3 linked regions of the Sus scrofa genome follow. The protein of the gene in region 3 purifies or fractionates together with the protein of the main gene of each other region. This does not show direct contact. Links are inferred from orthologs where the notes say so. Each region holds a gene or a part of one and is shown on either strand. Other genes may lie near its edges.

Region 1 (3,645 bases), on a different chromosome or scaffold from region 3:
CTGGAAAAAAAAAAAAAAAAAAGATGTTGAAAAGATGGAGACTAAACTTGGCCCAGAGATCAGTGTCTGATATTCACACTTCACCCCTGCACACAATTTTTAACACAAGCTCTGGCATTGCAAATAAGAGCAAACTTTCAGAGCCCTCTGTAGCACCCCTGATACTAAAAATGAATTTCTTTAATTGTGGAGAGGAGCTAGAACTCCTGACACACGCTGTGTTTCACAAGGATCTGGGGGGCGAACTCCAGGTCATAGTGTGTTCTTGAAATGTTTTCATTAGTGAGGACTCAAAACTGCGCTTCCTGGGAAGAATGCCTGACCTACGGAGAAAGGCGGAAAAAAAGCCAGCAGGCAGCTCTACATCCCCCCCCCTCCAGAACAACCCTGCAGGTCACTGTGAGGTGGTGCCCAGGTCGCCCAACCTTTATTCATGTACTCGGTGACGATGTAGATGGGTTCCTCTGATACCACGGCATAGAGCTGGACCAGTTTGTCATGCTTCAACTTCTTCATGATCTGTGCCTCCTCGAGGAATGATTCTGGGGACATTGTGCCTGGTTTGAGAGTCTTTATGGCTACTTTTGTGTTTCCGTTCCAGGTACCTGCGGACATTCCATAATATGAAGTCAAATCAAAGAATCTCTCTTGAAGGGGAAAAAAAAATTCTTTTAATCCATAGTTCTTTGTTAGATTTTAAGTTTTAAAAAATTTAATATAGTTTCTGTTGAACAAAGACAATCAAATGTAAGGACTCTGTCAAGTATTTTCAACAGGAAAAATGTGTTTACTTATGGCTATACCATGGTTTATAATTCTTTAAAATTTTTTCTGTTTCCTTTTCTGGCTCAGTCATGTGATTATAAATTGGTATCAAAAAGTTCTGGATACTTTTTTCCCTTCCAGTTTTATTGAGATATAATATAGCACTGTATATGTTTTATGTATAAAGCATAATGATTTGAATTATATAGATCATGAAGTGATTTATATAGATCATTAGTTTAGTGGGAGTTCCCATTTTGGTTCAGGAAGTTAAAAACCTGATATAGTGTCCACGAGGATATGGGTTCAAACCCTGGCCTCGCTCATGGGTTAAGGATCCAGCATTGCCACAAACTGTGGCGTAGGTCACAGATGCTGCTGGGATCCAGTGTTGCTATGGCTGTGATGTAGGCTGGCAGCCGAACCCGTATGCTGCAGGTTCAGCTGTAAAAAGGTTTAGTGAAATCCATAATCTCATATAGATACAAAATTAAAGAAACAGAGTTAATTTTTTCTTCTGATGAGAACTCAGGATTTGCTCTCCAATCAATTTTCAATAACATATAGAAGTGTTAATTATATTTATCATGCTGTACATTAGTCCCCAGTACTTTCTGGATGTACCTTTTTTTTTTTTTTGGTCTTTTTTGTCTTTTTAGGGCCACACCTGAGGCAAATGGAGGTTCCCAGGCTAGGGCTCAAACTGGAGCTAGAGCCACTGGCCTATGTCACAGCCACAGCTATGTGGGATCCCAGCCACATCTGTGACCTACACCACAGCTTACGGCAACGCTGGATGTTAACCCACTGAGCAAGGGCAGGGATCGAACCTGCAACCTTATGGTTCCTGGTCGGATTCGTTAACCACTGCGCCACAACGGGAACTCCCGATGTATCTTTTTAAGGATGAACGTCCAGAGGTTAGAACAGGCCTGGTCATCCAGCTGCATCTCTTAAGGCAGCAGAATGAGCATGGAAGAAATCAGATTAAGTTCTACTTCATGGGGTGGGCCACTTAAAAGTATACAGTAACACACTGAGGATGTTTAGAAGTTACCTCTAGACTCTCAATTGTTAGCCATGGATGAGCTACTTGACTGAGTCCTTGAAAAGTTGAGCTGAGTGTGCTGATAAGCACTGGCAAGAAGTTCACTGTCTCCTTGCCAATACTTCAACCAGGAAAGGAAAATTCCTCAAGTTTACTGAGGGTCAGCCACAAGAACAATGACTTCGAAACAGCAGCTAAGAGGGAACAGAACTGTTTAAATTTCACGTGTTTGAAAAAAAAGTCTAGAAGGTTTAGAGGCAGCCTGGTTTATGATCACCATCATTTACCTCATCTGTAAAACACAGGAATGAAACTGGATTAGCTTTAGTTTCTTTTTGCCCCCAAATTTAAAATACCCACTTCATTCTATGTGTATCCATTATGAGTCTAATGGCTTTGAATTAAAACTGTCTACAGGGAAACAGAAAAAATCTGCTAAGTGAAATTATGATGTTTTCTCTTTGGAAAAGAAGGCTGGTTTAACTTAACTTTTATATTTTCCTATAATGGGTTTTACAACTAAAAAATTCTGTGAACTGGAGCAACTCTGTTACCTTGTTAAAAGCATGGTTCATATACCACAACATGCAACCTACGAAAACGTAAACTATCAAAGAATAAGGGGCTTAAAGAAGAGTTCGCTCCAATCTTATAATAATAAACTGACCACTAAATGTAAATGGGAAATGTGACAATTTGTATAGGGTCTGTGTGAGCAGTGTAGCACTAATGAAATTCAAGTAGAGCGAGATTTTCCTTTCGAGTAACAGCCTAGTTCCTTATGTGTTCCTTCCATCCTGACCCTGAACTACCCCAACATGATACTTTATGTTCAATGGGAAACAAAACCTTAATAGCATGTGTAATGACTTAAAGATGGTAATCTTAAAGTTTGAAAATAAATGTTCATATACAGTTTAATTTGTCCTAATTTTGTGAGTGACTGCATTAAAATCCTTAGGACCCACAACTTTAATTATAAATCAAGTGGATGACAGAGAGAAGGGCCATATAAACACATTTTACAATATGAGAGTTAAAGTCCAGAGAGAGACAGGCACAAAAATGTGGACTCTGAAAACAATTTTAATGATAATAACCATTATAACTGCTCTTGCATATACACATATACATACATGTGTATGTCTGAGTGTCTCTCTCTCTATGCAGCACTTACTAGTCTAAGTGCTTTAACTATATTACATTTTCTAATGCAGACCACACCTAAGCACCTATACCCACACAAATCAACAGGTACCAACCTCTATTATTTTTAATTGGATCTAAGAAAGGAAGAAGGAGGATTCCATCAGCATCCAAATTACCTTACTGATGGATGTTTCAGGGTGTTAGCGAAGCAGTGCAGGGCCAGTACAATTGGCAGTGTCAGTGATACAGCAACCAAACTGAGAGAAGTACGTGTGTCTACTGAGCACCTGCTGTATGCCAAGGGCTCTAACATACCGTCCCATGTAATCCTTACAACAATCCCATGAAGTAGGTCTTATTCCAGTTTTATAGATGAGGGCACTGAGGGTCAAAGAGATTTAATGAGCCCCTTGTTCATGGTTAATGAGCGAGGAAAGATTCAAACCCAGGCCATTGAGCAAAAAAGCTGGTGGTCTTTCCCTCCAGGAGCCCTGCTAGACAATCTTACCTTCTCGTGTCTTAGGAACAGCAAACACCGGGGTCCTACTGTGCTGGTTGCCTGTTCTGTGTGTGCCTTCACTAAGCACACAAGGGTATACAGGTGGCTGGTCTGTGCCCACCTAGCTATCTGGGTTTATGTGTCTTGGTCCCAATGGCCGTATATGTGTTTTGGTTCAAAACCG
Region 2 (4,425 bases), about 56 Mb from region 3:
TACCGTGCTATCACTAAGGTAACCAGTCACTAGTAGTCATATATTAATTTAGGTCAGAAGCACCTCTTCAATACATTTCTTAAAGATTTGACATTATTTAACCAAGTCATTTAGGCTTTTCCTTTTATTTAAAATAAGAATTTATAGGAAACACTTGAATTTCATCTCTAAACCTGCTTAACCTGCTGGAAGGCTTTATGAAGTTAAAATAAAAATTTTAACATAATTAATCATAGTAGACAGGCCTTTGGAGTTCAAAACATTCTCTAAAAGAGCCATTAATAAGGGAGTTCCTATACCAACAGAACTAGTAGGCAATCAATGACAATAAAATTATACTGTTATTTTAGGAGACTATTAATTTACTCAACACTTACAATGTGCCAGGTACTGTGCTGAATATGTTCAGGGGGTTCTCATTAACCTTAAAAAACGACCATTTGAGGGAGATACCATTATTATCCCCATTTTACAGATGGGGCAACTGACCTTTCCAAGATCACACAGTTAGTAAGTAGCAGAGTCAGGATTCCAACCCAAATCTTGTCTAACTTCAGAATTTGCACGCTTAACCACTACACTGTATTGCCTCCAGAGACTCTGGGTTGATATCTAAGATAAAGAAAAAAGGGAAATTTGTACTTCTCAGTGGCAAATTTAAGAAACATACTAGAAATGGAGGATACTTTTTTAGAACATGAACAATTCTCATATACATAACTATACAAATAATATTTTTATTTCTAAATACATATAATATGATGAAAATCTCACGAGACTTCTTACAAACATATTTTTTCCTATGCACTCATTCATGTTTATTATTAAAAAAGTTAATGGGAAAAATGCATTTTCTGCTCAATTTTGCTGTGAATCTAAAATTGCTCTACAAAATAAATTCTGTATTTAAAGGATTTAGAACTGCAATAAACTAAATATGCCTAATTCAACTTAGGAAATGCCAAAAGACTATATACTCTTTTATTATGAAAAGTTGTACATTATCATAACCACAGGGCCCTTAATATCTAAGTGATTTTCCAAAAAGTCTTAAAGGTGTAAAAACAATGCTGTAATTTAAATTTTTAACACTCTCAGAACACCTTCAAAAAAGTCTGCAATACATAAAGCTGGAATAAAATCAGACCAAAAAAACTGAACTCAAAATGAACAATATTAAAAGGAATATAACAACCCCATACCACCGCTGTCATAAATAGCACTAACTTTACTTTTCCATCAAAAGATGTAGCTTAAAGTCTGAAAAGTCCTAATTCATTGAGCCCTTTCTAAATCTTCCAAAGAAGCTTTTCCAAAAAGCAAACAAAAACTTTCAACTGTACAGAGTGTTTGTCAACATAGGAACCAAATCTTTTTTCCTCTGATACTCACCAAGTTGTCAAAATTCTAAAGGTCAATTAAGACAGATATGAGGGACCTATAAAACAAGTTTTGCCTACTATTAGCACTTCCCCATCAACATTTTCCTCTCATCAAGGTCCACCTATACATACCTATGAAGAGAACAAGGTGGAGGTACTACATACGGAAGAGTCACTTCCTATATATTCTGCTGTAGACTGTCAAAATTAATTTTCAAATAGAATACTGCATTGGCCACCAACAAAAACTGTTGAAGAGAAGCACACTATTTTGATTTGCTCCAACATTCTACTTAGGTTTCAACTATAAAAGAATTACACTAATATCCATAAATGGGAATTCTACAACATAAATTACAGATATTGCAGAGTATGGGCCCCTAACCACACGTATACTTCACAGAACCCCCTTCTTTTCTCGCTGACCCAGGCTCTCAAAAGTGATCCAAAGACTTCTCCATCATTAAGCCTTGCGATTTGCAGCGCAACGAAAACAAAGCATTCTGACCAATGCATGTCTCAAATGATACTAGTACAATACTCATTCAAATACTTGTAAAGCTTCTTACTAATCATCTAACCCGGGTTAATACGGACAAGGACCGCCTGGGTATCTGCAAGCTCAGCTGAATCCCAGGACGGCACCTCAATTTGGAAGGGGCAGAACCTTATCTGGTTGTCACTGGATCTACACTTTCCCATGCTTCCCATATTTAAAAATTTACATCTTCCCAGAGGAGCAATAAATATACAAAGACGCCAGGGAGTGTGCCTGTAGGGAAGATGAGTGATCAAATTAAATCCCTACGCACGGAACCTTAAGCTTCAAAACTTTTCACAACGAGTCACAGCTGCAGGAACGAGGCAGGTTTTCTCACTTCTTTCCACGAGCCAGCTTCCCCCAAAACAGCGGTCTTGACTTACTGGTTAGTTGGAGGAGCGGTCAGCGGGATGGCCACCTCTTCCTCCTCGTATTCTGGTCCATCCAGAGAGTCACCTTCGTCCACTGTTCCCAGGCCTGCGCCCAACGGGGGCAGCTGAGGAGGTGGCGGCAGAGGAGGGAATCCACCGCCTGCCCCGAACGTCTCAGTAGACAACGAAGTGGTCCCCTTGGTGAGAGCCATCTCCCCGCCGGGTCCGGCAGCGGCAGCACCAGCCACGCCAGCAGCAGCACCTCCCCCTGACAGTCCGGCTCCCGCCAGTGCCCCAGCCACAGACCCAGGTCCCAGGATCGATGACCCCAGAGCGGCTCCTCCACCCAGAGTCCCGGCCACTCCAGCTTCCGCCTGCCCAGAATAGGGGCCAGCTGCCACAGGCAGGGCCGCGGGTATCTTCACCCGACACGCTGCCGGATAAGCACTCGAGCCCGCGGCGGCGCCGCCTCCAGCTGCCCCGGCGGTGACCGGGCCGCCTTCCTCACTGCCGGCCTCGGCCGCCATCATGTTGAAGCCCGCTCTCCTCTGCCCTGCTCTACTCGCCCGGGAGCCCCGGGGGCCACCAGGCCCGGGCTCCGAGCCGCCCCACCCAGGCGCGTCCCCCCTTCAGCTCCACAGGCGGAGGAAACAACAACAAAAGGAGAGAGCCCGCCGCCGCGCCCCCTCTTCGGGCCACAGCCCAGGCTCGGGAGCTACCCGGGTTACGGGAAGAGAAGTGGGCAAAAAACCCAACGCCTGCACAAACGCCGACCAAACCTTCACCTTACACACCCACACTCACGCACACATGCACAGAAGCGAAAAACTTCCCGGCTGCACTAAAGAGGAAGGGAAGCACAGGGGAAGCGGCTGGGGCGGCTGCCGATCCTTCAGCCACCGCCACCGCCGCCGCCGCCACCACCGCTTCTTCACCACCCCAGTTCCGGCCACCCCCACCGCAGCCACCGCCGGTGCCGCTGCTGGGGCTGGGGCCACTGCAGCCGCTTCATCCTCCACCGGGCTGAGATGGGAGGGGTGGGGAGAAAAGAGGAAGGGGGGCGGGGTAGTGGGGAAATCAACTGAATTGCTCCCAACCTGGAGCGCTCGGAGAAATCGACAAGAGAAAGGAAGGCGGGGCAAGGGAGGAGGAGCGGAGGGAAGGAAGGGCGGGGGGGCGAGGGGAGGAGGAGGGAGAGGGCAGCTTCTGCGCAGGCTCCTTCCCGGTGCAGGGGTGGTGGGGGGTGCTGGGCCTGGAGGAGGAAAAGGAAGAGTCGGGAGGGAAGGAAGCGGCGGGGACGCGCGGTTCGCGGACGCGCTCTCTGTCCGGCTCCGGGTGTAACGCGTGGCGGCGCGGCCTTTTCTACAGTCGGTGTGCGCCTCCCTCCCTGGGCTTTGTTTGTTGGGCCGGTGGGGTGGAGGAGGGGAGGAGTGGGTCTCGGCGAGCACGCGGCCGCTCAGCTAGGTGAAAAAAGGAGAGTCGAAATGAGACCTGGAGGGGTTGGACCGGAGGGACGGGGGAAAGGGAAAGGAAGATGCTGCGAAGCCAGTTCCCTGCTTCCTGACCGGTAGAACAAACTCCCTTGGTGGCGGCGCAGAAACCAGACGGCCGAGGTCGGCCTGGGTCGGGGTTGGAGGGGCGGACTGCTTCCAAGGTCTTAGGCGGTACTGCTTGTGTTTTCATTTTCTTTGCATAATATAAATTACTATAACACTACTACAAACTAAAATAATGTGAATTTTTTAAACTAGGTTCTGACAAAACGAAATGAATAAGGGAGGGGGCGTGTGTGGGGGCTAAGAATTTTGGTAGAAATAGCCAGATTTCTACGACCATACACCATTGTTTTCTTCACGATCCTTTCCCCCTATTGTTTGTATGTGTCTTCAGACACACTGCCTGTGCTATTGCAAGTCTGTTGGATACTGGTAAGGTGTGGAGAGGAGCAGTGCTGTAGACAACAGTAATCAACGCACTTTTGTCCTGGTTTGTGTGCCTAACAGTAGGGCGTGAAGACACAGGCACTTTAAACAGGCAATTGTCAAGAAGGTCCCAAAGTGTCGGTTACAATTATGTATAGTTTCAAGAATTACCAATAAACCAAAATTTCACCCTTAATATGTGCAGACAA
Region 3 (3,645 bases):
CGGGCCACCAGGAGCCCTGCCCTGCGGGCCCACGAGCCGCAGCCACACGGACCGCGCGGACTCACGCTGCCTTTGGAGATGTAGTTGGAGTCCCGCATGATGTCACGGGCCAGGCCGAAGTCGCAGATCTTGACCAGCTTGCCCTCGCAGATGAGCACGTTCCTGGCCGCCAGGTCTCGGTGGACGCACTGGGGAGGAGGGAGACGGGGCTGAGCCTCGGGGTCCGTGGGGGGCAAAGACGCGTCCAGGGCTTCGGGGCTTCGGGCAGGACACAGGTGGCTCAGGTGGGAGCGGCCACGTGGTGCGAGGCAACGGGTTGACCTCACCCCCCGAGGGCCGCCCCACGGGGCTGTGCACTTGGGAGACCCTGGCCGGCTGCGCGAACCCCCCAGGACCCCACGCCGCTCGCGGTGACCGAACGTACGTTCTTGGAGGCCAGGAACTCCATGCCATTGGCCACCTGGTAGCTGAAGCCCACGAGATCCGTGTAGCTCAGCACCGGGGACTCGTTGATCAGAGTCGGCCGGCAGGTCCTCTCAGGAGCTACAGGCAAGAGCAGAAGGTCACCCGACAGGTCGCCGGCCATCGGCTGTGTCTCCCCGTGGCCCGCGGGACCCTGGTCTCTGGCCCGTGGAGGCTGAATGTCCAGGATTTTCAACTGTCTAACAACTTCCCAACGTCTGACTTCAGCCCTCCTACCACCTCAGAGCCCTCACGGCCTAGAAGAGCCTCTGCAATTCGCTCCGGGCCACCTCTGCTCTCGGGGCCCTGGACCGGCCCGGGGCCAGCTCTGAGCAGACCACGTCTCCCCGGAAGGCCAGGCGCGCTTCTCACCGTGCCATCTCCCCGCCCTGCAGCCCGGGCGCACCACGCCGGGCCCAGAAGCGGGGGTTCACACGGGGGCTCCATCACACAGCGGCTTTGGGCAGGCGGATGGCCTCTGCTTCCGCCTCTATTAAACGGGCACCGGACCGCCTCCCTGGCGGGTTGTTGTTGCCCAGCTGGGCAGAGGAAAGGCTGCGGAAAGGGGGCAGCCTGCACAGGCGTGAGGAGCCCGTGACACCCACCCGAGGGGACGCAGTTATCATAAGGAGCCATGTAGCCGGAGGGCTGGATGTCGGCGTACTTGACGTCCCCCCGCATGTCCAGCATGGGCACGTAGTCCACCGACTCGTCCTTGCTCATGTCCATGTAGCCGCCATCGCTCTCCCCGGGCAGGGCCACGTGGCTGGGGGCAGAGGGGCGTCACAGCAGGAGAGGCGCGGGCTCTCCCACTCCTGCCGCTCCTGCTGCTCGGCTCGGCCTCTCCCTCCTTCACGTACGGAGCCCCCACACCCGTGTGTCGCAAGGGGATGCCCATGTGACAAGCCCTTCCAGACAACCTCAGACCCACCCTGAGCTGGGCATGGAGGCTGCCAAGATGACACAGGACCCAGGGCGAGTCCGCAGAGCACTTGTGCCCAGGGCAGGCACGGCACCCCGGACAGGGCTCAAGGACCACCTGTGCCCAGGTGCTTTTCGGGGCCACTCCAGCCCCACCCAGCCAGGATGCCCTGCGCGTGGGCACGGACCGCCTTCGCGCCTCTGCCCGCAGGTCAGCTCCCCAGAGCGTGGCAGGGCTCCCTACACGGGTCCCTTCGGGGAGGAAGGACTGGGAGGAAAGCAGTCAAAACGGGGGAGGACACAAGCCAGTGTCTCTGCGTCCTTCGCGGCTGCCTCAAGTTCCTCTCGGCTCTGGAATGAACATGTGTGGCCTTTGTCATGAGCACGAGAAGGAAGAACTGTTATTTTTGGAAAAGAAGAAGATCGGGTGAGGTGCCCTGAGGCCCTGGAGAGGCTGGTGTGCGGAGCGGGTGGGGAGGCTGCACAAGGGAGGACAGTGCAGGAGCCGGTGTCAGCCTGGGACGGGGCCCCGGGTGCTCGGGCAGGGTCAGGGGTCGAGGAGCAGCACCAGGCCTGGCACAGTCAGCAGGTGGCAGCCGGTGCCACCATCCCCCTCCTCGGGGTGCACAAGGGCCAGGTCCCCAGCCGGCTGGCGACCCAGGGAAACCCGGCTGCAGGAGTGACTCTGCCCACCCCGGCCTCTGCCTCCCGCCCGGGCCGGGCCGCCCCCTCGGTACCTGGGCAGCGGGAGCCCGACGGGCAGGGCGTTGCTGTAGAGCTCGGCGCTGGGTGGCCGGCGCTTGTCGGAGCAGCGCTGCAGGAAGGTGTGCTTGTTGCGGTGCAGGAAGTCCACCAGGTCGCCGTAGCGGCAGTACTCGGTGATGATGTAGATGGGACCTGCGGAGGGACGGGCTCAGGGACAGGCCCAGGGACAGGCCCCGGAGCCCTCCGGTTTCCCATCACAGCCATCAGGCCAGCGGCAGGCTGCAGGCGGGACTGCAGGTGCGGCAGGCTCCAGGCAAAGCTGGGTTCTCTTCCTGACCAGGAACAAAGGTGCCCAGTCTCCCTGAGGCTTCCTCGCCCCACTTAATAGGTGCACCCTCCAAGAGGGGCACGGAAGTTTCAGGAGATGAGGCCTTGTCAGCTCAGCTCAGGGTTAGCTGTTTTCGACAACGTGGACTCAGGAGCCCAGGACATAAAGGCAACAAAGCCAACTGTTCATTGACAGGTCACTGTTTAAATTCAAGCACCACACATGGACTTAGAGGCCATCGGTGGCAGCTTGAAGATACTAGTGGAATCAAAAATTTTGAAATGTGTGATTATTGCAGACATAAACTGGCCCACGTACACAGCGTACTTCTGTATTCTGCTCTGGTTTCGCAATACTGAGGAAAATCCCAGATCTTGCAGTAAGCAGCTGCAAATGGTGATAACTTTTTTTTGTGTGTGTGGCCTAACTTGTAATCAGAGCTTCAAATAAAAACATCTGGCAGGGGGCGTTCCCTGGCTGTGCAGCGGGTGAAGGAGCCAGCATTGCTGCTGCAGCGGCTCGGGTCTCTTCTGTGGCGCAGGTTCAATCCCTGGCCCAGGAACTTGCCCATGCCGCTGGAGAGACCTCATTCCACGAGCTGCATGAAAGCAGCCCCCAGGGAGCATGCTGGGGGGGTCTCCGGGGTGGGGCTGCCGCTCATTTCAGGGTCGCATGAGCTGGTCCTTATCTCAGGCTTTAACATCATTACGAAATGTTTCCACGTCAGAGGCCTCCGTGATTTAGAAACCATTCGGGCCGGGGACCGGAGGAGCGCTCTGGCCGGGAAGGTGACGCGACTCTGTGACCGTCAGGCTCCGTGCGGCGACGGCACTGGACAGGATGGGCACGCCCTCTGGCTGGAGTGTCCTGGGGTCCAGGGACGGGGGGGGGGGCCTTTGGCCCCTGGCACTCTCCCAGAATCCCCTGGGGCGGGTACCTCCTTTAGTGCAGGCCCCCAGCAGGTTGACCACGTTCAGATGAGGCCCGAGATGACTCATGATCTTCAGCTCCGACATGAGGGCTTGCTTCTCACTGCTGCGCGCTGTGGCTGCGGGACAGAGGGGGGGCCTCAGGCCGGGGCCGTCGCCGAGGCCCGTGGAGGCCCCACCAAGGCCTCTGGCCCTTCTGCCCTGGTCTGCGCTGACCCACATACAGACCCAGGCAGCCACGGAGGCAAGATCCCCGCCCAGAAGAGGGGGGGGGGATGGGGGGAGGGGAGGAGGCCCCCA

What was found.
Region 1: the proteins of PDGFRB (region 3) and FYN purify together in Homo sapiens (pull-down; 3 studies listed by IntAct, with this or other methods). This does not show direct contact. The link is inferred for Sus scrofa from reciprocal best matches to the Homo sapiens genes PDGFRB and FYN.
Region 2: the proteins of PDGFRB (region 3) and RASA1 purify together in Homo sapiens (co-immunoprecipitation; 5 studies listed by BioGRID and IntAct, with this or other methods). This does not show direct contact. The link is inferred for Sus scrofa from reciprocal best matches to the Homo sapiens genes PDGFRB and RASA1.

Annotation. Positions count from the first base shown.
Region 1 is NC_010443.5:77,618,236-77,621,880, forward strand, and holds part of FYN (tyrosine-protein kinase Fyn), read right to left. Parts: intron 606-3,645; coding exon 426-605; intron 1-425. UniProt on the Homo sapiens protein: Non-receptor tyrosine-protein kinase that plays a role in many biological processes including regulation of cell growth and survival, cell adhesion, integrin-mediated signaling, cytoskeletal remodeling, cell motility, immune response and axon guidance.
Region 2 is NC_010444.4:94,878,112-94,882,536, reverse strand, and holds the start of RASA1 (ras GTPase-activating protein 1), read right to left. Parts: upstream 2,923-4,425; 5' UTR 2,825-2,922; coding exon 2,307-2,824; intron 484-2,306; exon of another isoform or gene 1-483. UniProt on the Homo sapiens protein: Inhibitory regulator of the Ras-cyclic AMP pathway. Stimulates the GTPase of normal but not oncogenic Ras p21; this stimulation may be further increased in the presence of NCK1.
Region 3 is NC_010444.4:151,161,771-151,165,415, forward strand, and holds part of PDGFRB (platelet-derived growth factor receptor beta), read right to left. Parts: intron 3,465-3,645; coding exon 3,354-3,464; intron 2,281-3,353; coding exon 2,121-2,280; intron 1,229-2,120; coding exon 1,068-1,228; intron 544-1,067; coding exon 425-543; intron 189-424; coding exon 66-188; intron 1-65. UniProt on the Homo sapiens protein: Tyrosine-protein kinase that acts as a cell-surface receptor for homodimeric PDGFB and PDGFD and for heterodimers formed by PDGFA and PDGFB, and plays an essential role in the regulation of embryonic development, cell proliferation, survival, differentiation, chemotaxis and migration.